Linked DNA regions of Xenopus tropicalis. The protein of the gene in region 6 interacts with the protein of the main gene of each other region in a pairwise test. Links are inferred from orthologs where the notes say so. Each region holds a gene or a part of one and is shown on either strand. Other genes may lie near its edges.

What was found.
Region 1: the proteins of bend7 (region 6) and eaf1 interact in binary tests that used the Homo sapiens proteins (3 or more experiments, as listed by UniProt). The two-hybrid records come from large-scale screens. The link is inferred for Xenopus tropicalis from reciprocal best matches to the Homo sapiens genes BEND7 and EAF1.
Region 2: the proteins of bend7 (region 6) and ppp1r37 interact in binary tests that used the Homo sapiens proteins (3 or more experiments, as listed by UniProt). The two-hybrid records come from large-scale screens. The link is inferred for Xenopus tropicalis from reciprocal best matches to the Homo sapiens genes BEND7 and PPP1R37.
Region 3: the proteins of bend7 (region 6) and l3mbtl2 interact in binary tests that used the Homo sapiens proteins (3 or more experiments, as listed by UniProt). The two-hybrid records come from large-scale screens. The link is inferred for Xenopus tropicalis from reciprocal best matches to the Homo sapiens genes BEND7 and L3MBTL2.
Region 4: the proteins of bend7 (region 6) and mfap1 interact in binary tests that used the Homo sapiens proteins (3 or more experiments, as listed by UniProt). The two-hybrid records come from large-scale screens. The link is inferred for Xenopus tropicalis from reciprocal best matches to the Homo sapiens genes BEND7 and MFAP1.
Region 5: the proteins of bend7 (region 6) and smarca2 interact in binary tests that used the Homo sapiens proteins (3 or more experiments, as listed by UniProt). The two-hybrid records come from large-scale screens. The link is inferred for Xenopus tropicalis from reciprocal best matches to the Homo sapiens genes BEND7 and SMARCA2.
Region 7: the proteins of bend7 (region 6) and lyar interact in binary tests that used the Homo sapiens proteins (3 or more experiments, as listed by UniProt). The two-hybrid records come from large-scale screens. The link is inferred for Xenopus tropicalis from reciprocal best matches to the Homo sapiens genes BEND7 and LYAR.

The regions. Positions count from the first base shown.
Region 1 is NC_030682.2:51,500,673-51,504,799, reverse strand, and holds the start of eaf1 (ELL-associated factor 1), read left to right. Parts: upstream 1-1,327; 5' UTR 1,328-1,743; coding exon 1,744-1,849; intron 1,850-2,660; coding exon 2,661-2,755; intron 2,756-4,127. UniProt on the Homo sapiens protein: Acts as a transcriptional transactivator of ELL and ELL2 elongation activities.
Region 2 is NC_030684.2:71,184,352-71,188,461, reverse strand, and holds the start of ppp1r37 (protein phosphatase 1 regulatory subunit 37), read left to right. Parts: upstream 1-1,310; 5' UTR 1,311-1,688; coding exon 1,689-2,115; intron 2,116-4,110. UniProt on the Homo sapiens protein: Inhibits phosphatase activity of protein phosphatase 1 (PP1) complexes.
Region 3 is NC_030680.2:115,987,153-115,990,486, reverse strand, and holds the end of l3mbtl2 (lethal(3)malignant brain tumor-like protein 2), read left to right. Parts: intron 1-517; coding exon of another isoform or gene 518-539; coding exon 540-689; intron 690-998; coding exon 999-1,108; 3' UTR 1,109-2,834; downstream 2,835-3,334. UniProt on the Homo sapiens protein: Putative Polycomb group (PcG) protein. PcG proteins maintain the transcriptionally repressive state of genes, probably via a modification of chromatin, rendering it heritably changed in its expressibility.
Region 4 is NC_030679.2:107,687,106-107,691,178, reverse strand, and holds the start of mfap1 (microfibrillar-associated protein 1), read left to right. Parts: upstream 1-1,273; 5' UTR 1,274-1,369; coding exon 1,370-1,451; intron 1,452-3,586; coding exon 3,587-3,806; intron 3,807-4,073. Other genes in the region: rpl37a (60S ribosomal protein L37a), read right to left, coding at 104-232, 1,188-1,190. UniProt on the Homo sapiens protein: Involved in pre-mRNA splicing as a component of the spliceosome.
Region 5 is NC_030677.2:128,244,138-128,247,637, forward strand, and holds part of smarca2 (probable global transcription activator SNF2L2), read right to left. Parts: intron 3,426-3,500; coding exon 3,325-3,425; intron 1,994-3,324; coding exon 1,846-1,993; intron 1,165-1,845; coding exon 1,001-1,164; intron 295-1,000; coding exon 228-294; intron 1-227. UniProt on the Homo sapiens protein: ATPase involved in transcriptional activation and repression of select genes by chromatin remodeling (alteration of DNA-nucleosome topology).
Region 6 is NC_030679.2:81,757,203-81,760,702, forward strand, and holds part of bend7 (BEN domain-containing protein 7), read left to right. Parts: intron 1-3,229; coding exon 3,230-3,492; intron 3,493-3,500.
Region 7 is NC_030677.2:26,336,903-26,341,142, reverse strand, and holds the start of lyar (cell growth-regulating nucleolar protein), read right to left. Parts: upstream 2,801-4,240; 5' UTR 2,700-2,800; intron 1-2,699. UniProt on the Homo sapiens protein: Plays a role in the maintenance of the appropriate processing of 47S/45S pre-rRNA to 32S/30S pre-rRNAs and their subsequent processing to produce 18S and 28S rRNAs. Also acts at the level of transcription regulation.

The DNA.
Region 1 (4,127 bases), on a different chromosome or scaffold from region 6:
ATGACACTAAATTGTGCAAAACTATAAGTTCCATGCAGGATGCTGCCGCTTTGCAGAGCGATTTGACAAAATTGGAAAACTGGGCAGCAAACTGGAAAATGAGGTTCAATGTTGACAAGTGCAAAGTTATGCACTTTGGTAGGAATAATATAAACGCAAACTATCTACTGAATGGTAGTGTGTTGGGGGCATCCTTAATGGAGAAGGATCTAGGGGTTTTTGTAGATCACAAGTTGTCTAATTCCAGGCAGTGTCATTCTGTGGCTACTACAGCAAATAAAGTGCTGTCTTGTATAAAAAAGGGCATTGACTCAAGGGATGAGAACATATTTTTGCCGCTTTATAGGTCCCTGGTAAGGCCTCACCTTGAGTATGCAGTGCAGTTTTGGGCTCCAGTCCTTAAGAAGGATATTAATGAGCTGGAGAGAGTGCAGAGACGTGCAACTAAACTGGTAAAGGGGATGGAAGATTTAAGCTATGAGGTTAGACTGTCGAGGTTGGGGTTGTTTTCTCTGGAAAAGAGGCGCTTGCGAGGGGACATGATTACTCTGTACAAGTACATTAGAGGGGATTATAGGCAGTTGGGGGATGTTCTTTTTTCCCATAAAAACAATCAGCGCACCAGAGGTCACCCCTATAGATTAGAGGAACAGAGCTTCCATTTGAAGCAGCGTAGGTGGTTTTTCACGGTGAGGGCAGTGAGGCTGTGGAATGCCCTTCCTAGTGATGTGGTAATGGCAGACTCTGTTAATGCCTTTAAGAGGGGCCTGGATGAGTTTTTGAACAAGCAGAATATCCAAGGCTATTGTGATACTAATATCTACAGTTAGTATTACTGGTTGTATATATATAGTTTATGTATGTGAGTGTATAGATTGGTTAGTATAGGTTGTGTGCTGGGTTTACTCGGATGGGTTGAACTTGATGGACAATGGTCTTTTTTCAACCCTATGTAACTATGTAACTAACTATGTAACTATGAATAGTAACAAACAGCTAAAGGAACTACATTACCCAGCATGTAATAGGAAACTCAGCAGTAAACAAAAAAAGGAAAGGAGGTCCAGCAGAAGCTAAGATTAGATTGTCACGCTTGAAGCTTGCATCTCTTTTTTAGAATTTGGCAGGTTTTTACATGAGCAAGATCAGAAGAAGGTTGACCTTACTGACGACCCGTAGTAAGGAAGTGCTCGGAGACTGGAGAAATGGGTGCAGTAAATCAGCAGAGGGCGGAGCAAGTGACGGAGCTGTATTTAATTATTGAGAACGATGTCTTTAGAGAGGCTGTTTGAATGACTCTTCCTGAGTATAATAGTGGTGGACTCTGGATAATTTATCATTACTGCACCATTGGTATCTCTTTTTAGACTTGCAGACATAACATTCACAACATTGCGGAGGGGGCGTGGAGAGATGGATACAGCGTCACATCTTTAACACTGTGCTGCTACGGATCTTCATTTTGATCTGTGGTATATAACATATCCGTGGGCTTTTTGGTGCGGTGACTGTTCTTTTAAGCATGAGCTTTTATAACCTGCGCTGGGTTATTATTATAAATATTTGAAGGTGGGGTGTGGAATTTGTGACAGGTTCTATTCCCTACGGTTGGTGTGATAATCCCATTGCGGGTTAGTGTCGTGCACCTGCGCTAACTAAAATACTTGTGGACGGCTATTCCAGCTTTAATTATTTTATTGAGAATCATAATTAAGATTTCTTGTAGTAGCTGGAATTTCAGCAATGAACGGGACTCCACCCCCACCGCCGCTGGACCGAGAGGAGCACATCCTTCGCCTCGGTGAGAGTTTCGAAAAGAGGCCCCGCTCTTCTTTCCACACAGTGCGCTGTGAGTACAATGACATCACACAACTACACCTGTATGGGGCGGGGCTTATTTGTGGCTTCACGTCTGTGGAAAGGGGTTAAAGATGATTGGGAGACCTTTATTCTAAATTTTATGTCTTGCTGCCCTTAAACTTACAGTGTGTAGGTTCAATAACAGATAAATATGTTATATTTGAAAAGAAGCAAAGAAGCACATTTGTCAAAGTGCAAATCCCATAAATCTTTATAATTTTATGGACTGATGACAGATATCACGTGTTTACAGTTCCAATAATGCACATGAAGGGCAGCCATACAGGCTATCGCCTTGCAAAGTTTATTAATCACATAACATCATAACATAAGTTTTGAGGGCAACCCTATTGTCAGGTGAAATATATATCTTTTTGTTGTATTTCACTTGATGAAGGGGGCTGCACTGAAATTTTTTTTTTTTTGTGATGAAAAACTGGTTTTAAGGCAAAATCACACAAAGAAAATCCTGTGTGTTGTCACTGGATAAAGTCTGGCTTATAACAGCCAAGCATAGTACTGCGCAGGCAGCTACGTGGTGCTGAAGTTTATTACTGTTCATTAAATACAATGACAATAGTGCATGTTTTGTGTTCACAGTAAACCAAACCTACATGCAAGAAAAAAAATAGGCTGTATTTTTCATGATTTTCTTCTGTAATACTGATATACAAATGTTCTAAATGTGAATTACACTCTAGTAGGTAATTTGTTTTCTTTTACACATGACTGGAAATGAGGGCATTATTCACTAATCTTCTTTATATTCAACGCTATTAAATACCTTATGTTCTTTTTAGATGATTTCAAGCCAGCATCCATAGACACTTCTTGTGAGGGGGAACTTCAGGTTGGCAAAGGAGATGAAGTAACAATAACCTTGCCACATATTCCTGTAAGTCCTGTCGTACACTGAAAAAGCATCTGAAAACATGTGGTGTGAAACTTTCAGTTAGACTGTACAGAATAAGTGCATATGGTATGCATGGAACATTCTTTTTCGGTATGAGGAGATTGGTTGCTTATTGTGGAAGCTACCTAATATGAAATCATGTAGCAGTCAGGGATATGAGGCATGTATTCATTTAACTACAGCTCTTAGAACAGCCATCACTATTGGAGCATCAGTAATTGGTGTGCTGACAATTCAAAACTATTAATGCCAAGCATGATGCAGGCCTCCATGCCCAGATCAGTCCTGTAAAAAAGTCTTAACATTTATCCAACAGTATACATTAAGGGGTATATTTATTAGTATGTAAGCCAACATCACCGGTGATGTTGCCCATAGCAACCAATTAGCAATTAGATTTGAACAGACAACTACATGTTAGCAACCAATTAGATCTTTGTTTTCTAACTTTTAGGTGTTCAGATCTAATTTGTGATTGGTTACTATGGGCAACATCCCCAGTAATATTGGCTCACACACTATATTAAATATGCCTCTCACTGTATTCTGTCTACATCTGTCCCTCACCATGGTCATCAGTAGATGGCTAGAAACATTGGTGTCATTCATGTAAAAAGTAGGTGATGAGCACAGTGATTACAAATAAAGGTTCATTTATATCCGCAAGTACAGCAGGCAACTTGCACTTTTTCCCACAGTCAGTTGAGGGTAAAGCCACTTTCATTTAAGGTACTTAAATGCACTTCTTGCTGCTCCCTATAGTTGTGCTCAGTGCCGCTCAGTCCATCCTGCCTTCAGTAACAAATCGTGCACTGCTGTGCATAGGCGGATTTTCAATAAGGCTAGGGGAGGCTAAGTCTCCCCAAACCTGCTCTGCACCTTTAAAATAGAAAAAAAAATCAATCAGTTTCTGCACTGCTCTGGAACATTGGGGAAATCTTCTTGCATTCCTCCTTCCTGCAAGCTCTGGTTCTGTTGTAATCAGCTGTGCTCTGATTGGATCTTCTTGTGGCTTCTCCAATCAGAGCACAGCTCTCTTGACAGACAGTAACATTGACCAATCAAGGTACAGATGTAGGCACTGCAGAAATGAAGACTGTTTAGATGAATCTGCAGGCTGTAACTTTACCTAAGAACCTCACCAATTCTTCATTCCACAGGTACTATACTTTATATCTTCTAAAGGCTGAATCAATAGCTGAAATGAAATAGTTTTTTGTCATCTGGCATCTGTAATTTTCCTAACCCCCCTACTCCAGTCCTAAATTAACTCTTTCCCCCTGAAAAAGCTCATTGTGCTTTAATATATTTGTTGTTGTTTTTTGCACTTACTTTTTCTCTTACTTTTGTTAGT
Region 2 (4,110 bases), on a different chromosome or scaffold from region 6:
TAATAAAAACTTTCAATAACAATAAAAATTTAGTTTAACGGAGCAATAGGGTTTTGTCTAAAAAGGCCAGTGACCCCAATTGAAAGTTTGAAAGAGTGAGAAGAGATACTAGACCAGTGATCCCCAACCAGTGGCTCAGGGGCAACATGTTGCTCCCCCACCCCTTGGATGTTGCTCTCAGTGCCCCCAAACCAGGTAGTTATTTTTGAATTCCTGACTTGGGGGCAATTTTCGGTTGAATAAAAACAAGATTTCCTACCAAATAAAGCCCCCTGTAAGCTGATAGGGTGCATAGAGGCTGCCTAATAGCCAATCACAGCCATTATTTGGCTCCTCCATGAACTTTTATGGTGCTTGTGTTGCTCTCCAAGTCTTTTTACATTTGACTGTGGCTCCCAAGTAAGAAAGGTTGGGAACCCCTGTACTAGACCAATGGAAACACTGGTAAGAATGGAACATTCTATAACATATTAAAAGTTAACTACTACCCCTTTAAAGCTTAATGTGGTAATTGGGGTCAGGGACCTTGCAAAAACAATGTTTACCACTGGACAAATGGAAGGAAGTCCCAATTTTTTTCTTTTTTCTTTCTCATATGTAAATGCCATAAAATTTAGCTGTGTATTAATTTTTGCAAGTATGTTTTTTTTACTTGTTTACTTCTTTTCACTTCCATAATTAACTAAAATGCAGTTTGGCAAGGGGAACGCAACATTTTGCATTCAACTCATGTTTAATTTTTCTTCTATTATTTCAATTAAAAATGTACTGTTTTAAAGCACTTAGCACTAAACCATAGCCTAGGCTGAGAGTCAGCACAAGGTTTAGAGGAGACCTTTGATAAAAGGTTAGAAAGTGACAGTGGTTTGAATTTTGTGTAATGCAAGAAACAACAAAAACTATTGGTTTTATCTTAAAAATAAAGGTCATTAGGCACTTTAATTCATTGAATTCAGTGAATTAAATATGTCAGTGTTGCTGGTCCTTCATTTTACTGCAATAAACCCGCCACTATTAAATTGCGTATTATAAATTAGATTTTAGCATGTAAACAAGGAAAAGTGTTTAGCAACATTGTATGCATCTTCAAATACATACACAATATGTACAAAAAGTTAAAAGGATAACTGTATAGTGACAACTCGTCTACAATAACCCTTGTACGTTTCCTATTTCTTTTCTGGCATCAACTACCCTCTATTCCTCCACAGTCGCTATAGTGATTATTTATGGTTCGCAGCTACACTCAGTCCTTCCACAACTCTATGGTTTCATTAAAAACAAACAGAGCTAGAGAATTCTTCCTACTCTATAGTACGATCTTTCTTCTGCTCCTTGGTCATATTGCTATCTATGGTTCGTGCTGACGCGGCGATTGCTGATTGGCCATGCTGTTTTCCGCCGTCAAAGGCTGAGTGAGAGACAGACAGAGACATGTGACCCGGAAACTGAGTTAGACCGCAAGAGCTAGTTGCACCGATAGTGATAGGTCGTTGTTTTGCATACAAAATGTCTTTTGGCCACTAAGCTTTGAAGTGTGGGTTCTTTTTAAAGACCGCGGAAGAGGCTGAGGGCAGGAGAGGCAAAAGCTTGAAAGAAATCCAATGATATCTACAGAGAGAATTTGTTGCATTGAGCAACTACAAAGAAAGTGATTAAGAGATGCAAGTCCAGTACAGGAGGGTAAAATGGATGGAAGTATTGTGGTGCATCCGTCACTTGAAGAAAGGAACCAAAGGGACGCTGTAGAGGCCATGCCTCAAAACAGTGTGGAAGATGAGCTGAAAGAGGTGTTACCTGTAGAAGTTGAAACTACTATAGTGAAGAACCAGGAAAACACTGAGGGTGTGTCTTCTACAGCATTGTCTCCTTGTAGCCCAGAACCCAAACCTCTGCCCCTAAGGACCCTTTCTTCTACAGAAATGGATTGTGTGGAGGGTACAGAGGTCAGAGTATCAACAGAAACATTGGACCAGAGCAAAATAAATGAGACTAAAGAAGGTAGCGCACAAGAGGAAAATGGGCGGATTAAGCAGGGACCTAAAAGGGTGACATTCCCTTGTGATGATGATATTGTGTCTGGTGCCCTTGAACCCAAAGATCCATGGAGGCATGGTGAGTAATTCATTTGATTTTAACTGTTGAACCCAAATCATTTTATTTAATGGTTCTTACTAGTTAGTGTGGCATTGCACTGGTTAGCTGGTTAGTGTCTTAAAGGGGATGTCAAACCAAAGACTAAAAAACAAAACATGAAATAAATGTGATTTTAATTACTTTCCAGTATAAATTTGTTAAGAATGTTTAACAACTTTAAAGTTATTTGTATATGTAGCTGCTATTGAAAGAAGTTTGTGTTCATATGTCAGGAGAGCATCTTTATGAGAGATTTTTTTCTGTGATCTGGCATTATGCAAAGACATTTTTGTTTTCATTCCCCTTCAGCAGAGCACCTTCTGCACAGAGTTTGTATGTTCTTCTCATGGCTTCTTCTGGTAACACTTGGTTTTCTGCCATGCTTTTCATATTAAAGGGGTTGTTCACCTTTGGGTTAACTTTTTGTATACTGTAGAGAATAATATTCTAAGAAAATTTGCAATTGGTCTTCATTTTTTATTATGGTTTTTTAATTATTTTGTTGTTGTTCAGTAACTCTCCAGTTTGACATTTCATCAGTTATCTGGTTGCTAGGGTTTAAATTACCTTAGCAACCAGGGAGTGGTTTAAATGAGAGACTGGTATATGATTAGTAGAGGACCTGAATGGAAAAATTAGTCATAAAATTTAATAACAATAAAACTGGAGCCTTACAGAATAAGTTTTTTTGTCTGCTGCAGTCAGTCACCCCTATTTGAGATTTGGAAAAAGTCAGAAGTAGGAGGCAAATAATTTAAAAAATAAATAATAAAGACCAAATGAAAAGTTACTTATAACTGGCCATTCTATAACATATTGAAAGTTAACGTAAAGGTGAACAACCCCTTTAATGACCCAAGTTAGTGTTTGCCCAACGCAGGGAGTTTGGATTGCAAACTCTCCTAGGACATGGTCAGAGGTTAATGATAAGAGATTTCTGTAAAGTTGCAGATAATAATAATAGTTGGACCTAAAATATTTCTTAAAATATAAGCATGTTCACTGTCATAGGATGTCAATGAATGTTTTGATCTTTCACTGTAAAGCAGCACTGACACAAGCTTAGAAAGGTTCTCATTTTTATGTACAATATAGAAGCATATGTGGGTAGATTTTAAAATCTGAGTTTGTGTTGCATTTATATCTGTTTGCAAAATTATCTTAAATAAAAATCAAATCTAAAGTTTTTGCAAGAGAAAAAAGTATGCCAATGTTGACGCATGCATACTGTCATAATGTCATTGGCTGCCTAGCTTGGTTTTTGGTTTCTCCCTGTGAGCTGCAGCTGTTACTCTGTTTCCTTACAAAAAACAAAGTGTTGCAAAAAATGCATTTGTAAAAGAAATTAAACAATATATAAAAAAAAAACACAAAAACAATAAAAAATAAAAAAATATATAAAGTATAAAAAATGAACTTAATTTAGTGATTTGTTTATAAAAAGCAATTGCTGAATGTAATGAGTAAATCTCCAATATGTTGGGCTTGTGGAGCATAGTCAAGTAAAATCTCTGGCTCTCCTGATGCACAAATCAGAAAAAAGCAGGTACTCAAGGACTGATAATTCAGTTTCTGCTCAAGCAGCAATTCAGTCCTGTAGAGCAGACTTCCAAACATGTTTTTATCATAGTGGGCACTAAAGTGTAAGCAAAACATGGCATATATGCTTTGCTGCCATGCTCTCATAGTACTAGGTGTTAGACCATGGGATTGTGTTTCACTTCCTGCCCCCAATACAACAATGACAAATGATTGCATTTTATCTTTATTTATTGAACGTTCTCTGTTGCATTGTACAGTTACCTTTTAACCATAGGTGTGGTCTCTCTGACCTTTAGTACTCAATTAATATGGCTCATGTTTCACCTCATAGTAAGAATAGCCTTATGCAGCTATTTTTATTTAAAAAAGAGAAACCTTTGGTGTCTTATAAAATTCTGTAATTTTCCCACTTTTATCTTAAAATAATCTAGC
Region 3 (3,334 bases), on a different chromosome or scaffold from region 6:
CCATACTCGGCCTGTGTGTGCCATACTCGGCCTGTGTGTGCCATACTCGGCCTGTGTGTGCCATACTCTGCCTTCCCTACCCTGCCTGTGTGTGCCATACTCTGCTTGCTCTATGATGCTTGTGTGTATGGCACACACAGGCAGCCTACAGTGACACAATGCTGGCCAGACAGGTGGGGGGCCACACAGAGGGGGGCCGCCAGTTGGACAGCACTGGAGTAGGGGAAACAATAGGTTATCAGCAAGCAGTTCTGTTGTGAAGTGCTGGCTCTTTCTGATAGCGCAGACTCAGGCACAATATTACAACTAAAAAAATGCATTTAATGGTTTAACATTAAAATGTTATATGGTAGAGTGAATTGCTTGCAATATAAACAGTGTAATTTAGTAATACAAAGTACACCATAAAAATCATGACAGAATTCCTTTATAAGTTTAGGTTATTTTAGTTCTTCTAGTTCATCCTTTGGTGCATTCTTACCTTCTTTCTAGTCTTATTATTATTATTCTTTCACAGTGTTTTTACATTTCACTTTAAGATGATCCAGCAAATAAGCATGTCATGGAAGTGGTGCCTTCCACAAGTGCTGGCAAGAATTCTGTGGATCTTGTGCCAGCTGACCTTGAGATGGAAGATAGCAGCAGCAGCAGAGAGAATATGTGCAACCCAAAGTCTGAAGAAGGCGAGAGTAAGTGGAATTGGAGGGTGTCTGGGTTGGGGGAACCATACAGCATGGAACGTTTAGTGAAGAGTTGTGAGAAATCCCTGCTATGGCAAAATTGAAATCTTTATCTAACAAAGTACACACAATTATTGGAGCAAGACTGTGGCAAATTGGTATATTAAAGTGATAACAACTCTATAGTGCTCTTATTTTTGCACATTAGAAGAATATACTTTTACTGCCTATTAGTATACCAACAGTTATTCTCATTCTTTTAAATCTTGTGGTGCATTGCTACACAGAGCATTTTACTCATTGTATCATGTCTTGCAGTTATCGCAGTGCAAATAAAGGAAGAAGAGATGGAGGTTTGTGAACTCGAACAAGTAAAGAACCAGGACATGAAAAAGGAAATTAAAGAAGAAGAGGAGGTGGAACTATGAAGCAGCTTTACATGTAACAATAATATAGCTGTTCATGTAATAAGCAAATCCAAGAAGGCCAGCTTGTGCTTTTTTGTAAACAGAATGAAAGTGACCATAGGCAGCATTAAGAACAGTTGGTTAGTGTTAATTGCTTTGAAGAATGCTTATTGGCATGTATGTATGTATGTATGTATGTATTTTGGCCCATGTGACCTTTATATGAAATCATCCTCTATCAACTGGTTTTGAAAGGTTGGGGACTGTAGATGATGGATTCAACAGTGGCATTTTAGCCTAATGTCAAATTTCAAAATGAAATTGAAAAACAGATTGTGGTACAGGACTCTGCTGGAGCAACGCTGATGCATTTTGCAAAAATCATGTTTTTCCGTGACAGAATCCCTTTGCGGCCAGTGCTTGTCTACTCTTTGTAAATAGGGCCCCTGGGGGTTTTCATAAAAAGATGTGTATTTATGTAAATATTATTATGTATATACAGTGGGGGTATTTTTGTTTGTTTTGGTCAATTGTTGAGCAATATATGTTGATGAAATACCTGCAGAGGATGAAGAGGGGTCTGATATCCAGTTGCAGCATTCTTTTATCCACTGTATAGGGATTATTCAATTTAAAATCTTTAAGATAAGTAACTTGAATCTCTATTCATTCACAAAATGCTGGCACATCCATGTGAAAGGCAAATATGCTGCAGTTGTGTTTTTCTCTTAGCCCTTTATATAAGTTTTTTTTTCTCTCATTATGTCAGAAATTGCCTTTGATTTCATAGCTGCTCTTCTATTAAGAGTACCTATCAAATGTGTGCAGGGCTGTTTACTTAGACTGGACACCTGTACCAAATGCCATGTACTGCAACTTTATGCAGTTACAGAGATTGCCCTCTGTGTTACCCACCCTTGAGGTTACTTTACCATCTCAATCAGGGATCCCCAAACATTTTTTAGTTGTGACCCACACGCAGATGTAAAAAGTGTTGTGAGCCACACAAGCATTAAAAAAGGGGTTATTTGGTAGCCCCATAAGGACTGCTGACCTGCAGGAGGCTCTACTTGGAGTAAAACTGCATCTCTATACTTCCAAAACTTGTCTCCAAGCCAGAGATTTAAAAATGGGTACCTATTTTGAGGCCACTGGGAGCAACACAAGGGGGTGGTGAGCAATATGCGAGCAATGTTGCTCACAAGCCATTGGTTGAGGATCACTGCTCTAGCTGGTGCCCACCTGGTGGCTGTATTATAAAATTAAAAAATGATTGGTGAACTTTGTATAAAATATTTACGAAAAAAAGCTTTAGCTTCTAGTTGTTGCTCTGTGCTGCAACCAAATACAATTGTAGAAATCCAAAAAATAGGAAAAAAAGCCTCAGCAGGTTTACTGCAAAACATTTATTGTGGGTAGTGGTAACTGGGATCAGCGGTTGGATACCAGCCATCTCCTGATCCAGCTGTTCACAACTGCATAATCTGTGATACATGAAGAGTTGCTGAGTGCCCTACCAGTGAGGTGGGACGTGAAGGGGGAACTTTACTTGCATAGTTCTGCTCTACATGGGACATTGTGCTTGCAAGTAAACAACTTTTATACACAGATTTGTTAAAGCCTTTGTTTGCCCTTCAAAAGCATACACACTTTTAAGATATATTTTGTCAGTTAAAGTAATTTGTAATATCTGGCATAAATACTTTATTTTTGTAAATAAACTTCTTTTTTGTAAAAAGAAAAAAAATCCTTGTAATATGTGACTTTATTTTAACACAAAAGGCTGTATTGAATTGAAAAAAAATGTTTTTTTTCAGATAAAAACAATTATTTTTCCCCACTTATTTGAAAGGGTTTGTGTTAAAAAGTAATTTCAATTCAAATTAGGTTTGGCTGGTCCCATACTGGTCTGGACTGGGAGTCAGAATAGGCCCTGACATTTCCAATACACAGAGGCCCAAACAGCCCAATAAATAGTGATTGCCAATGGTCTTTTACAGCAGTCCCTCTGGCATTTGCCAGAACCCACAGATTGCCAGACAGGCCTGGGCCCATATCCCCGTTCTCCTACATAAACTGTCCCACTTTATCTTGCTCATGTTCCTGTCTAAGACGGTTTGTTCCAGAGTGGCCCATGGCAAATTATATTTTTGGGTTTCAGCTTAATTCCACAGACTATTTTCTAAACACTTCCATTTTTCAAAAAACCATCTCAGAAGCTGTCAAACTTTGTTTTTAATAGTGCTA
Region 4 (4,073 bases), about 26 Mb from region 6:
CTAGAGGGGGTGCAGATTGGGAGGGGAAAAGTTACACTTTATATCCCTTCTGGAGCTGTAAAGTCAATTCTGCAGATGTGTATTCTCTATAAAAGGCACCTACCTTGCCACAGAATGAGCAGGTGTATTTGGCGTGCTGGCTGATTTCAATTTTTTTGACCATCTTCCTTAAGGAAGCACCGTAACGGGTCCCATATTTACCCACAATGCCAACCTTCTTGGTGCGTTTGGCCTGGAAAGAAGCAGAACAAATACATTCAGAAAAGACACAGCCAAATCTATAAACAAATGTATGGTTTGTAATTTCAGATACCCAAACGCACACTAGATTTCCATTTCAAATTCCATCCCAGTGTGATTCACCTGGGCCTTGTAGGGATTACACAAATCCTGTTAAGCCTTGGACTGGACTACAATTCCCAGCATATAATTAAAGATTAATGGTCCCTGACATTATGTCTCAGCCCTCCCTTTTAGAATGTAAGCTCTTGTGAGCAGGGCCCTCCCCTAGTGTCTCTGATCCTCATCCAAATGTAACTGCAAACCATTATTATGAATTGTTTATATGTACATGTTAACTCTTCTGTCTTTTGTACCCCTCTATTCTGTAAAGCTCTGCGTAAATTGATGGCGCTATATAAATAATAATAATGCTGCTCGCTGAGTGCCGCACATCACTACAGGGCTGCCAAAGTACAGAAAGAGCGGCAGGCCTTGAGTCTCTATTAAAGTAATGGTACAGCAAACCTAAATATAACACAAAAATCTGCCTGTGACAATGACGGGGAAAGTACAGGCCATTCTATGGCGCTGCGGTGTAAGGCAATCACTACGGGAGTACAAACTACACCTTCCCCCCAGGACCCTGCTACTTTGCAAACTATGGAGCCACTGATTCCAATTAAACAGCCGGGCTAGGCACACACACTGACATTCAAACCCTACGGAGCAAAGAGCCCGCAAGCCGGTGACTAAATACCGGTGATCGTCAGGGCCTCAATCTCCCGATCAACTAAACACATACATATATTTCCCGAAACTAAAGAGACGCGAAGAAAAGAAAGAGCAACGGGCGCGGGTATATGTGTAGCTGCAGAGAAAGGTGTCTAAGGTGCAAAAAGGTCGTTCCCGGGAAAGGATTACGACAGATTGATAAATGCCGAAGCCGCCACAACGCAAAGGCTCACCATCTTGCTTCAGGACCCGAGGGAAAAGGGAAGGGCCAAACGCGCCTGCGCAACTTTAGCACGCAAGGGCGGAAGTTGCCGGAAGTGTTGGGAATTAGTCTATGGTATCTAGTCCTCCAGCGCTTCTCACAACTTGGAAGAGCTGTTGTTTTCGGTGTCGTTTGTGATTTCTTACCGGTACAATGGCGTCCTCAGCAAACGCGCTAAGCAAGCAACCGCCCATCCAGTCCACGGCCGGTGCCGTACCGGTTCGCAATGAAAAAGGTAAAGCCTTGGGTTACTGAAAAGCTGCGGCCTCCCGAGAGCCATATAGTATAGTGTAGTGCCAGGGAAGCCTCCATCTGGAACTACACCTAGTGCTTCTTTATCTATAAAATGCCATAATATCGTATCTAGTGTTAATTTTGGGCGCGGTGGACAACGTGCAGCCCAAATTGTTTAAAAGATTAATCTCTACAATCCAGAAACCTGTCGGGGCATTGTAGTTCTATGTGTTTGGTGGGGTACTTCTTGAACACGTAGTTCCGCCGTCTGCGCACTGAGGGTTGTGGGTAAAGATGTCAGTCTGGTGCTGACTGATTACATATTCCAATATAGAGACTATTGACTGTGCAATTTGCCCTAGTCCAGTAACCCGTAGCAACCAATCTGCGATTTGCTTTTATTGTTCTACTAGCAATACACAGATAACTGCTGATTGGTTACTGTAAATATGCTCAGTGTTGGAAATAAGCCTCAGTGATAGCATTAAGTATAGGTTGGCAATCTGCCTTCAGTGCAAGATGCTATCACAATGTAGCAGTAAATTGCTCCTCTGCCAGTTGCAGTAATAAGCTTTTGCTGGGCTGCCAGAAGAAAAATACTTTTTTTCCCTCTCTGAAACCCCAAATAAGGGGATACACTTGTGATATGGTATACAGTACGTAATATACATGGTATACAGTACGTAATATACATGGTATACAGTACGTAATATACATGGTATACAGTACGTAATATACATGGTATACAGTACGTAATATACATGGTATACAGTACAAAACCACCGATATCTACCAAATGTAGCACATGCAATTCACTAAGGTCTCAAGTGAAAATTGAGGATCTTAAGACTATCACTTTTTTCCACTAATGTGCAGTCATAGGTGTGTGACTTCTTTTGTGCTATGCATAACTACTAAATGTGCGTCAGTATCCTCTGGCGTTTGTTTATTCAGAGCTCGCACTTAGAAGATTATGTTATACTTTTTGTCTTGTACCTGCAAATGGAAAATGTATTATTCTGCAATCGAACATCTGCTATACCCTAGCTAAGTTAAGGTGGCCGTACACGCTAAGATCCACTCGCTTGGCGAGGTCACCAAACAAACGCATCTTCTACCGATATCCCCACCTAATTCAGTCGTTTGGCCCTGGAGCCAAACGATCGAATTAGAACGATGGGTATAGTCGCAGTTGGTTCGGGGACCGCATCAACTTTACACAGGAGATTTTGTAGGGTGGTGTCAGATCAGCTGATAGCATCCTTCAAGTTCGGCTGATACATTGACTTTTAGTGAATCTGGAACAAAACCCACCATCCGACTTCATCTGATCCATCCTACATAACTGTAGGGAGGGGATCAGATTTTATTGGATTCCACAAAATCTTGTGCTGTTGCACAACAAGGTTTTGTGGGTCAGATAAAGTCTGATCCACAAAATCTGATCAAACGCTAATGTGTAGTTTCTTTCTGAATGGTAAATTTGGATCAGGCTTTGTGTGTCAGACTTTATCCCATACCTGTATAATGATACTGCTTGCTAATTTTTTTTTTTTTTTTAATAAATTAAATTTGACATGTGATCCTTACATTTAAAGGGGATCTGTAGTTAAAATAGTATTGTGTTACTATAGAGCAAACCAGAATACAAATAAATCATTTTACTGTAACTATTTTTCTCTTTTAAAGGGGTAGTTCACCTAAACAATTAACTTTTTGTATGATGGAGGCAGTGATATTCTGAGAAAATTTGCAGTTTGACCTTTTTGTGTGGTTTCCAGAAGCTCAGTTTGGAATTTCAGCAGCTATCTGTTTTTTGGGCTGCTGGGTTCAGAGGCCCCTATTTGACAGCTAAAGAAAGCATGTAACTAAAAAAACTATAACAAGCAAAGACTAATTGAAAAGTTGCAAAGAATAGGGCATTCTATGACTAAAAGTTACCTTAAAGGTAAACTACTGAGTAGGCATATGTAGGGAGTGACTGAAACCCCAACTTGTTTATCATTGGCTGCTATTCTGCATTGCAGTGTCACTGGCCCTCTTTTAACTCATGGGGTAGACTGTGTTGCTGGATTTTAAAATCAATAAGATTTTTTTTAACCTGTTTTTAAAGGACTTCACTATCCATTATTACAGGTGAAATATCAATGGAGAAAGTCAAAGTTAAACGATATGTTTCTGGTAAAAGGCCCGATTACGCTCCAATGGAGTCTTCTGATGAGGAAGAAGAGGAGTTCCAGTTTATTAAGAAGGGGAAAGAACAGGAGGTCGAGCAGGAGGAACAACCAGAAGAAAGTACCAGCGATCCTCGTTTACGTAGATTGCAGAGTCGCATGAACGAGGATGTGGAAGAAAGGTGACTGTTTCAGTCTTAAAGGATAATACTGCTGGTATTTTCCAGATCTTTCTGAAATTTGGACCCCCAAAAGTCTACTAAAAAAATATTTAAACTGTAAATACACCCAGTATACACCCATTTTGAAAAATCCAAATCATTTGATCAAAATGGAGCCTTTGGGAGATGCCTTTCCTGAAATATGGAGCCTTCTGGATAACAGATCCTATGCCTGTACTTTGTAAAGTCAGTGTGGTTTCTGACACTGATTTTAGTCTATGGTGGGCT
Region 5 (3,500 bases), on a different chromosome or scaffold from region 6:
ACCATTTTGTGCAGCATTTTTCCATCTGAAAGTAATTATCCCATATTGCAGTGATGTCTTTAGGATGATTACCTTGCACTAGGACGCATGTGGCAATTTAAGCAGTTTAACATAATTCTATGCAAAGATGGGGTGAACATAATAAAATATACACACACACACACACACATATATCTTTAGTAAAGGAATAATTTCACGATCATTAATAATAGAGTGAAACTGCAAACCTTGTATGCGATTTTCACAACTGATGGGGCCCATTTATCAAATTCATATAGCCAGTTGGACAAAGTCCTAGAGGAAAGAATATTGATTTAAATAAATAAACAGTATATCAAGTCATTAAAATATAACATGGACATTTTTTAAAATAATTTTGTATATACTGTATTTTTGTTTTGTAGACAAGTGCCAGCTTGATCTGAAAACATCTTCTTGATATTTTCTAATCTTCTAGACATCTGCTAATTATTCAGCACTACACAGTTAACTGCTTATGGGATCAGGTATGGGATCTATTATCTAGAAACCCATTATCCTAAAAACTCAGAAATACAGAAATTGTGATTTCTATAGTGTCTCTCTTTTATCATTTCTTTATTCTATGTAGTAAGAAAACAGTAACTTGTACTAGCACATATGTGTACGGCACATGTAGGTGCAATAGTAGGTGAAAAGTTTATGTATCTGCGTGGGCCCTTCCGATTTTGCTTATTGACAGTTTGTAGAGGCCAAAAATCTTGCAACTGAACATTTCTGACATAATTGTTACTTCCTCTGCTTTTAAATTATTTGTATCTGATCAGACCCATTTTAATACTGATAAAAAAAAATGTTGGAAATGTAGTTGAAATACTCTCCCTGACAATCTCTACAGGGCCTCTGATATAATCAGAATGTTAAGCCAAAAAGATGACACCCAACATGTGTTTGTGTGCACATTATAACTTTATTCTATTTTTTCAGGTAAGGAACCAAAAGACAACATTTCTGTACTTACGAAAGAGGAACTATAATAAGGTATGGCCCATTAAGCCTTTTGTGCTCCATCAGATAGGTTATGAGTGCAATAGTTTGAATGGTCTTTCCGAGCCCCATTTCATCTGCCAGGATTCCATTTAAATTGTTGTTGAACAAGGAAACCATCCATTCCAAACCCTGAATCTGAAATATAAAACAGCGGTTTCTAGCTGAAAGAAAATCAGCAAAAGCTTGTTGAACTTTTGAAGATTCTGACTGTTTAACCATTAAGTGTCTATATATTACATTTTAGTGCAGAAAATAATTGTCTGAACCCATTCATCTGTATTCTACTATACACATTGGGGGCAAAGATTTGCATGGGTGATAGTGCTCAGCACTGCTCCTGAGCAGCACTAAGAACTACCACCCCACAGAGCAGAACTGGGTTTGCCTGCTAAAAGCATTTCAACATATTCTGACAAACTGGCAACAGGTATCAACTTTGATAAACACATCCACTCAATAAAAACTTTCCTATCAGGAAAATGTTTCTGACACAAGGAAATTTTTGATGAATAAGAAAAATATCTGCTGGGCCAGTCGTTTATTTTAAAAATAATGAGTGCTCAGTTTCTGTAATAGTAACAACCTCACCTATCAAGAAACATTTAAAAACTGCTGTAACCGAGTTAAAGGAAAAGTAACACTAAATAATTTTAAGTAAAAAGTCTATTCTACCCTGCCCCAATAATTGCCCTATCCTGCACACCATTTATTATTTACTGATAATAATAATATTCACTGAACTCATGATGAACAAAGGGTACACTGCCCCTTTAACACGTTTATACTTAACAATAGATGAGCTAAGTGACTGTTTACCTGGTAGTGTTTTAAGCTGCCATTAATTAGGAGGGAGGACTGCTTTTCAACCCTTTCTGTGACAGCGTGAGCCACTCCGTAGTAGGACTGAGATTGACGGGCATCCTCTTGCATACTATACTCGTCATCTACATCCTGCTTTGCTGTCCTAAAACATCAAACAACATGTTTAACCAAACAGTATAGACCATTATAGTGCCTAAACACTTTTTAGTTAATTTTAAGAAAGCTCCATCATTTTCTCAACAAAGGTGGATGAGTTTAGCCAAGTGTGTATGTAAAATGCTGCACATTTCAATGTCAAACAAATTGTTGTTTATTTTGTTTTACATCTTTGCCTCAAGAAGTATGCTAGTGGTTACTCCAAAGAATATACTAGACGGCAAAGAGCATGAAAGTCTTATTGTAAGAAGGAGAAAATGTCTCTTATCTTGCATGTCCCATGTAATGATACTAGAAACAGTACTCTTTCTACATCATCATCCCTAGGGCTTGTGTCTAGCTTGTGTGAATATTACTGAAAGCTCCCTTGAGCTTTTAAAGCTATGAAGCTGAAATCAACACTTCCCCCAAATATATGATTCTTGGAACCCACTAAGACTCCAATGTTCCTATCAGTGGAAATAGACATTACATAACTCTGCCCTACCTTTAGTTTGCCTACAATATTCATTTGCATTCTGAGAAATTCATGTAGTAAACCCATGTCTGTTAAAACAGCATATCCCCCAGGACACCTTAAAATAAGCTCAGCTTTTCCTATGGGTGAAGCTAAAGGAGGCATTGATATAAGGCCCTTTCCATATCATTTTATAGTAATCATCATATAATTTTACAGTAACCGTATGAGTAAAGGCTTCAGGACACAATCATGCACTGAAAGTTGAAGAAAGCAAATTTACTAACACCCAAGCCAGATTTGATACTTATACCTGTTGTCAGTGCTAGTGTAAAAAATATAAATTTTTGTTTTGTAAAAAAATAAATTTTTGTTACACAGATGCTGCATATATTACGGAGTCTGTTGAAAAACATCATCATAAAAAATTATTTCAACAGATGTACAAGGATTCTTAAGAATTACATCTGATTGAAAAACAGAGCAAATATAATGTACATCTAGCCAAATATGTACATTTGCTAACAAAGTAAGGGATAGAGTAATTGTGAAAAACTGTAATAGAAATAACTCAAATTTACAGTAACTGGTTCACATGAATCAGAAAAATAAATAACAACAACTATTTATAGACCCAAACAGACACTTTGTGCCAACCTCTGATATGCAAAAACCTTTTTATCACCTAATATTTATCAAGCTTTATCATGCTGCATTAAAACAATAATGGTTCTTTAATAATGCTGTTTTGACAAGCTCACGAACACACTTCAAAAAAGGAGATTTTATGTAACTACTTCTTTTATTTACATTTTTGGTAGGTCATTTTTTGAGACTTCCAGAATATTCCTATAACTTACTCTATTATCTGCTTCGCGTCGTGCTTTACATTGTCCTCCGTGTTAAGACCAAGGCGTTTCTTTTCCTCTGTGTCCAGTCTACTAGATTCTTCTTCATCCTCCTACAACCATTAAAAATAGAAGTCACACACAAACAAAAAATATTAAATGGATACTAATTTACTTGAATTGAAAAA
Region 6 (3,500 bases):
AAAGGTTTAAAAAACATCTTTATTTTTGGTGTCAGTATCACTTTAATTCCTAACTTACTACTAAAAAAGTATATTTTTATGAAAATGGTTTATTTAGATGAAGCAGAGTTTTACATATGAGCTGGTTTATGCAATATATTTTTATAGAGGCCGACACTGTTTGGGGGGTATAGTTTCCCTTTAAAATCACTAAAAATTCTGTCTCTCTAAATGAAGGGTTTGTGCAAGAGCACCCCCCCCCAAAAAAAAGATATATTGGACCTTACTGTCAATCAAAATCAACTTCTGCATAAAGAGGGAATGAAGATAAACAAATGCTGAGAGGGGATCATAGTAAAGATAAATGTGATTATTTCAGAAACAGTACAGAATGTTTAGAAAGTTTCTTATTTCAGTATGGTGATGCTTATATTACATATTTACAGTTGTTTATGTTTTTTTAAGTAAAAAATGTAAATTTGTGGAGTATCTAGAACCTCAATTTGAGATTTATTAAGAACTGGTATATGAAAGCTGCGGAGTTTATGTAGAAATCAATGGGAGATGTATTGGCAAGGTCTGCAAATGTATTACTAACATGTTTATAATTATGAAACACCCTACATTAAAACCTAACTTGTAATTTTTAGAATACTTAGGAGCACATTTACTAAGAAATTTTAAGAAAAAGTTGATTTACAAATGGGCTTTTGCCATTGATATTGTTTCTTGAAAAATTAGATTTTTCTGGAAATTTTGCCCGAAACATTTGATTTTTTCTAAAATAACTCCCGTAATTTGTGATTTATTAATGTTTAGTTAACTTTTTTTTGTAAAAAAAAAAAAAAATTCGACAGGTTGATTTGTCGAGTACAATTGAGTCCTTTCAAGGCTTGGAATAGAAGAGGAATAGAATAGCCTGTCCTTGACACATTTTCAAGGGGAATTTAATCCCATTATTGTTTTCAGTTTCACCCACATTCAAGTGAAACTAGAATGAGTACCAATGCTCCTAAAATGGCTGCTGGAGCAATTCCTGTTTGGCAAAAATAAAGAAGATTAATGGAAATGAACGTTCGTTTAAACTCAAATTTTTCGAGTTTCAAATATATATATAGTTGTGGCTTGAAAAATTTGCGATTTTCTAACATAAAATTTGAAATTTTCTTACGAAAGATTCAAGCATTATCGTGACATTTTATAAATACAACAATGATTAAGTTTAATTCGAATTTATACCGTGTTGAGGTTTTTTCTGTCAAGGCCAGAAAAAGATGAGTTTAAGTAAATGTGACTGTTAATTTTATATCTAGAGAAATGATGGGCTGTACCTACTTTGTATGTATTTTTTGAGAACACATTAATAGCTTAATTACTGTATCATGTATTACCGTATATACTCGAGTATAAGCCGATCCGAATATAAGCCGAGGTACCTAATTTTACCTAAGAAAACTGGAAAAACTTATTGACTCGAGTATAAGCCCCTCAATGGTGCAGCATGAAAAGCATCCATATACCGGTATACAAAATCTTTAATCCCATAAGTAAATATGGCATTTCTGTATTCTTTAAATACACCAAATTGCAAAGTATACATGCCTTTAATTTTAAAATATTAATGGAATTACAAGTAGAGCGGAAGCAACCATGCATATGGATTTTTTTTTTTTTTTTAACTTTGTTTTTATTGGTTGTTTTACAGCAAGGTAAAATACATATGAAATATATGAAACAAAAAAGAAGGAAGAAGGAAAAGGGGGGGTTAAAGAAAGTTGGGTGGGGGTTAGATAGGGGGTTGAGGGTGTTTTTTAATTTTTAAAGAAAAGCTCCATTTATTCAGGCTATGGATTTTCCAGCAAACAGCCCTAATATAAACAAATGTGAGTGTATTAAGCAATGCTAGGGCCCACGGCTAGCACAAGGATATCATAACCAAGCATTTCAATAGTGTGGAGTAACGGTGCTGCCTTTTGTGTCACTTACTGTCATTGTCATTCGGCAAGATGTTGGCACTAACAGTAGCAACAGTAACTAACTGTAGCGCGCACACTGTGTCCACATTCTCCTTAAGGCCGGGCACGGGGGGGTCCAGGGAGGGGGGTGCTCCTCCTGTGCTCCACTGTGTCCTTACCTGCAGCGGCGCGCTGTGCAGAATGTCGCGCGCACGCCGTGTCCACACGCTGCTGGAGGCTGGCACACTCAACTACCGCATTGCATGATGTATACAGTAGAAATGGAAGAAATGAACTAGAAGAGCTTTACAATAAAAATATGCATTTTACTTACTTACTTTTACTAAATGTTTTAAGGGATCTTTTATGTAAAAAAGCTGGTACCTTAAGTATATTTGTTTCTTGTGGTGTCCCGTGTAGAGATGTGTTGTAAGGTACTGCTTATTTGTTTGCCAGCAATGTGCAAAATAAGGAAATCTCTGCCCTACTATATTGAAGTAAGGTATCTCTGCCACAGCTTTCTTGGAGGTTGGGGCCTTTCTTTGCCTAAATGTGGCCCTGACAACAATTAAAGGAACAGTAAAATAAAAAAATTTAAATGATAATGTATTGTTGCCCTGCACTGGTTTGCTTCAAAAAAACTATTTCAGTTAATATAAATAAGCTGCTGTCTAGCCATAGGGGCCAAAGGCACAGGTTACATAAGCAAACAGATAATAGCAGATAAGCTTTGTAGAATACAATAGGAATCTATGCAATTTATCTGCTATATAACCTGTGCCTTTTCTCCTTTTTTCAATTTGAATGGGTACCCCCATGGCTACACAGCATTTTTGTTTACATAAACTATAGTAGTGTTTCTGAAGCAAACACACAACTTTTACCAGTGCAGGGAAACAGTAGATAATAGCTTAATTACTTTGATACACTTTCAGTTTTTGGTGTTACTGTTCCTTTAAAGTAAACATCCCAGTTAGTACAGATGTGTGGGCAGATGAATGTTGGGAACCCCTATGTATTCAATATACAGAGATTCTCAAATGAGACCATGTTGAAGAAACAGAATTATGTATTTTCAAAAGCAGTAATTTATATTTAAAAATGCAAAAACAATCTAACCCTAACTTGAAAGTTTTCCTTTTATTCCCATATTTACAACCTGCCCAGCTACAAAGTAGAAAGCGGCACACAATATATACAGTATACTTCTGGTGAAGTGTTTTGCCCTCACCTTTAAAATAACTAAACAACTAATAATTAACACCATTTATACATGCATATGTGTTTTATTACAGTTTCGCAAAGCCGTATGCAGGTTCCGCAGTCATGCATTTGCAATCAAAAGGCAGCCATGGCAAGGAAAAGAATAATAAAGAAAAAAGTGCTTTTAAAGAATACAGCAGTATCTCCTGTAATCAGCCCACCAAGTGTGAGTGAGAAAGAGCACAAGGCCATGGTGCTCCCAGAAAGGTCCAGTCTGACAGAAAAAGGGAGAGCCAAGAAAGAGGAGGAGCACATGCTGGGATTTGGAATTGTTGTTGATTCTTCATCCTCTGATGTAAGTTG
Region 7 (4,240 bases), on a different chromosome or scaffold from region 6:
ACTCCCCCAGTTACATGGGAGTAGGAGAAACAATAGGTTACCTGAAAGCAGTTCTAATGTGTAGCGCTGGCTCCTTCTGAAAGCTCAGACTCGGGCACACTTTACTGCTGCGCTGCAAGTTGGAGTGATATCCCCCCCTCACCCCCAGCAGCCAATCAGCAGAACAATGGGAAGGGAGCAAGATAGGGAATCATTTAACCATGAAATAAACCCAATAGGATTGTTCTGCCCCCAATAAGGGGCAATTATATATATTGTTCCATTTCGCCTATGGATGGGTATGTAGGGCACAACTGCCTCTGCGTGCAGCTACTGTTCTGTGGGGCTCCATTGAAAGTGGGAACCATGGTGTTTGCATTGGATTGCACCCCACTTTATGGCCCCTTTGTTGGCAATATGGGGGGCATACAAGGAAATCCTTATGTGAAAGTGCCTGCACCCCTCCTATAATATCTGCCTTATGTCTGAGGGATGTGACATTCCCAATGTCAAAATAATTCATTGGAAGCAATATAAGCCGAGCCTTGTAGCAAAGAATGGAATTACCTGCAGAAAAGAATGTAAACTGTAATTGTGCATTCAGCCCGCACATCGTTCCCTTGCTCTGCGCTGTTGGGCTGGAGGCGCCATTAGTTTGGAGCAGCTTCAACTTGCACAAAGCGGCGCTACAGATCGGTGCCCTGAGAGCTCAGCAAATACCCCAATAAAATAATGAAATGGCACAAAGCGGCGCTACAGATCGGTGCCCTAATGCTCATACCTGTAAGGAGAAGCCCCCGCTCGGCAACGATGCCACGCGTCAGCACGCAAGTTAGGGCGCGTGCAGCTATGCATTTAATTCAGATACCGTATATATGCGAGTATAAGCCGAGGTTCACTTTTTAAGCACATTTTTAGTGCTAAAAAACTCGGCTTGTACTCGAGTATATACGGTAAGCTGCTGTGTAGCCCTGGGGGCAGCCATTCAAGCTGGAACAAAAGGAGAAAAGGCACAGGTTACATAGCAGATAACAGATAAGCTCTGTAGAATACAATAGTGTTTTATCTGTTATCTGCTATGTGCCTGTGCCTTTTCTCCTTTGAATGGCTGCCTCCATGGCTACACAGCAGCTTAATTATATAAATTATAGTAGACTTTCTGAAGCAAACACACAACTTTTACCAGTGCAGGGCAGCAGCACATTATATTTTAGTTACTTTTATACACTTTCATTTTTTGGTGTTACTGTTGCTTTAATCAGTTTAGTTCAGGCAGACGATAATCTCTGATCAAGTGTGCTTAATCTGATAAGGTAGTGGCAAAGGTGATGTTTCTAAGGGCTCTGGCACACGGGGAGATTAGTTGCCCGCGACAAATCTCCCTGTTCGCAGGCGACTAATCTCCCCGAGTTACCATCAGTTGCCATCCCACCGGCGAAAATGTAAGTCGCCGGTGGGATGGCACACGCGGCGGCACAATTTCTGCAAATTGCCGAAAATGCCTCGCAAGGCAACTTCGGCGATTTGCTGAAATCGCCTGCGCAGCGTGTGCCATCCCACCGGCGACTTACAATGGCAATTCGGGGAGATTAGTCGCCCGCGAACAGGGAGATTTGTCGCGGGCGACTAATCTCCCCGTGTGCCAGAGCCCTAAGGGTGAAGACACATGGAGCTACTAGTAGCAGCTACTAAAATAGACAATGCTGATAATTGTCTCTACGTTTTACAAGAGGCAATTCTCAGTATTGTCTATGGCAGAGTATTTTCTGGTGTAGCCGTGAGAAGTAGCTGCTACTAAGTAGCTCTGTGTGTCTTCACCCTAAGGACTTGGACACAGGGAGCGGTTTGTCCACTTCTCTCATTTAGCATTTATCCGTCAGGCTGAGAGAAGTAGATCCGCTTCCACACGCTGCTTCATTTTTTCTCCACAGGCCAAGAATCATCCCTGTGTGGCACTAGCAATACTGCTTCCCAAGTGGCACCTTTACACACGGCCAATCCGCTGCCCTACCTTTCTGTTCATTTTAACTCTCCGGTGTTCTAGCTACTGAAAAATCCTTTGGCTGTTCACCAGTTATATGGAAATCTCTCTACTTGTATTGGCAGCTTTACATTAATGGAGAGCACTAGTGCAGTCTGATACCCTGAGTCGGTGATCACTGGCTACTTGGGGAGACTGCCAGGTGTAATAACAGCCTTAAAGAGATTTAACCCCAAAAATGAAGTTAAAGTCCTGTGAGCACTTTTCCAGTTTAAACTGGTTACTGAGATAATGGCAGCTTTACACTGATTCCCAAGCTTTTTGGATCCAAAAAGTGCCAGCAACCCCAGCTGTGCTCTCCCTGCAGTCTCTTGAGAGAGTCAGAAGCCAGTTTATGTACTATAGCTCGGATGAGCACTGTCAGTAAGGCCAGTTTATATTTTGCATTTAGATGCCCTTTAACAGCACAGTTTTGCCAGAAGAGCTAGTGTGGGGGCTTTGCTGGGGGCACAGGGTACTGAGATAACTGATCCATCCCGTTAGGATTTAAACGAAGCTGAAACAGGATCGTTATCCCCCTGATGCCATGGGGTTAGCTGACACAGCCATACCCAGCCCCCCATACACACACACACACAGTGCTAGTCTAACAGCAGCACACCCATAGTGTCTCTCTCTATAGATCTTACAGTTTGTGCGAGTTGCAGTTCAGAAACCCGCTGCATCGGGCACCCCTTACCTCCCACTTCCCGGGCTCGGCGCAGCAGTCCCACTATAGCCTAAGGCGCCTCTCTCCCACCGTACCGCCAGCTATACCCACGTGTAGCGCTCCCGCACTGCGCAGACTATTTACTGTGACGCCACTTCCGCCCGGCTTCCCAGCGCCGCGACCTTGAGGGCGGAAGTGACGTACCTATCGGCGAAAGTCTTGACTCGTTCGGTTGATGGGTTCATGTTGGTGCGGCAGGGATAGAGCCAGAGGGGCCTCAGTGCCCGTACGTACAGACGGTAAGGGGCTCAGTCCGGAATGACCACCAAATGTAATAGTATATGTAAATAAACAACCTCGTATATATATATATATATATATACATACACACACACACACACACACACACACACTTAACCCTTTTACTGCCAGCCATTTTGGTCAAAGCGGAACTTGTATTGCCAGACAGTTTTTGAACATTTTGCACTGTTTCACTTTAGGGGCCTTTCCTCGGGGGGACTTTTAGTTTACCAAGGAAAACAATATATCGTTTTTTTCAGAACAACCTAAGCTTTCAAAATATGGTAGAATTTTTGTGTAATTCCAATTCTGTAACAAGATATAGGCTTCTAAATGTCTAAAAATGCAAAAAAAATCAAATTTTCCATAATATAATCACACATACTAGAAACAAAAATTATTTTATGCACGAATATACAACTGATTTGGAAAGTCCCATGTCTCCTGAACGTGCCAATACCAAATATATATAGTTTTATGGAGATTTCTCACTTGTATAGGTCAAAAACTCCCAGCAGTACACTACCAAATTCCCAAAGCACTGCTCCAAAAAAACTGCATACTTTGGATTTCAAGGCCAAAATTCCACTAACAGAAGGTTTATCCCAGAAAATTGTACATTTTTGGAAAGAACAGATTCTGGGGAATACAGAATAGGCACAACTGTCTGTCTACTCCAAACTATCAAGTTGCAATGCTTTCCTAAAGTTATTGGTTTTTATCAAAATTTGTGATTTTTTTTAAAAATCGCTTCAAAGCTTCTAGTCTATAGTATCTTATCTCCTACAGGTCATAAAGTAACCAAATAAAATACCCTAAATATAAATGCCTGGGGTCCACTGAACAGTTTGATGCCCAATATGTATAGGTTTACCTAAGTATGTGGCATGTAGGGGCCCCAATGTGAACATACCCCATATGAACTGTCATTTCTGTCATTTCAGCTTCTGCAAAATCAACACATTTACATCATTATATGTGGGATGAAGCTAGTAAAAAGTACGCTCACCCCAGAAAGTCATATATTTTTGGAAAGTACACATTCCCCCGAATCTAAAATGGGTACCCATGTCTTTCTACTCCAAAGTACCAAGCCGCACAGCTTTTCTAAAGTTAGCAATTTTGATGACATTTCCAAAAATCCCCTCAAAGCTTCCAATTTGAAGCATCTTATCTCCCACATAGCATTAGGTACCAAGATAAAACACCCTGAATTTGAACACCAGGGGTCCACTGAACAGTTTGATGCCCAATATGTATAGGTTTACCCA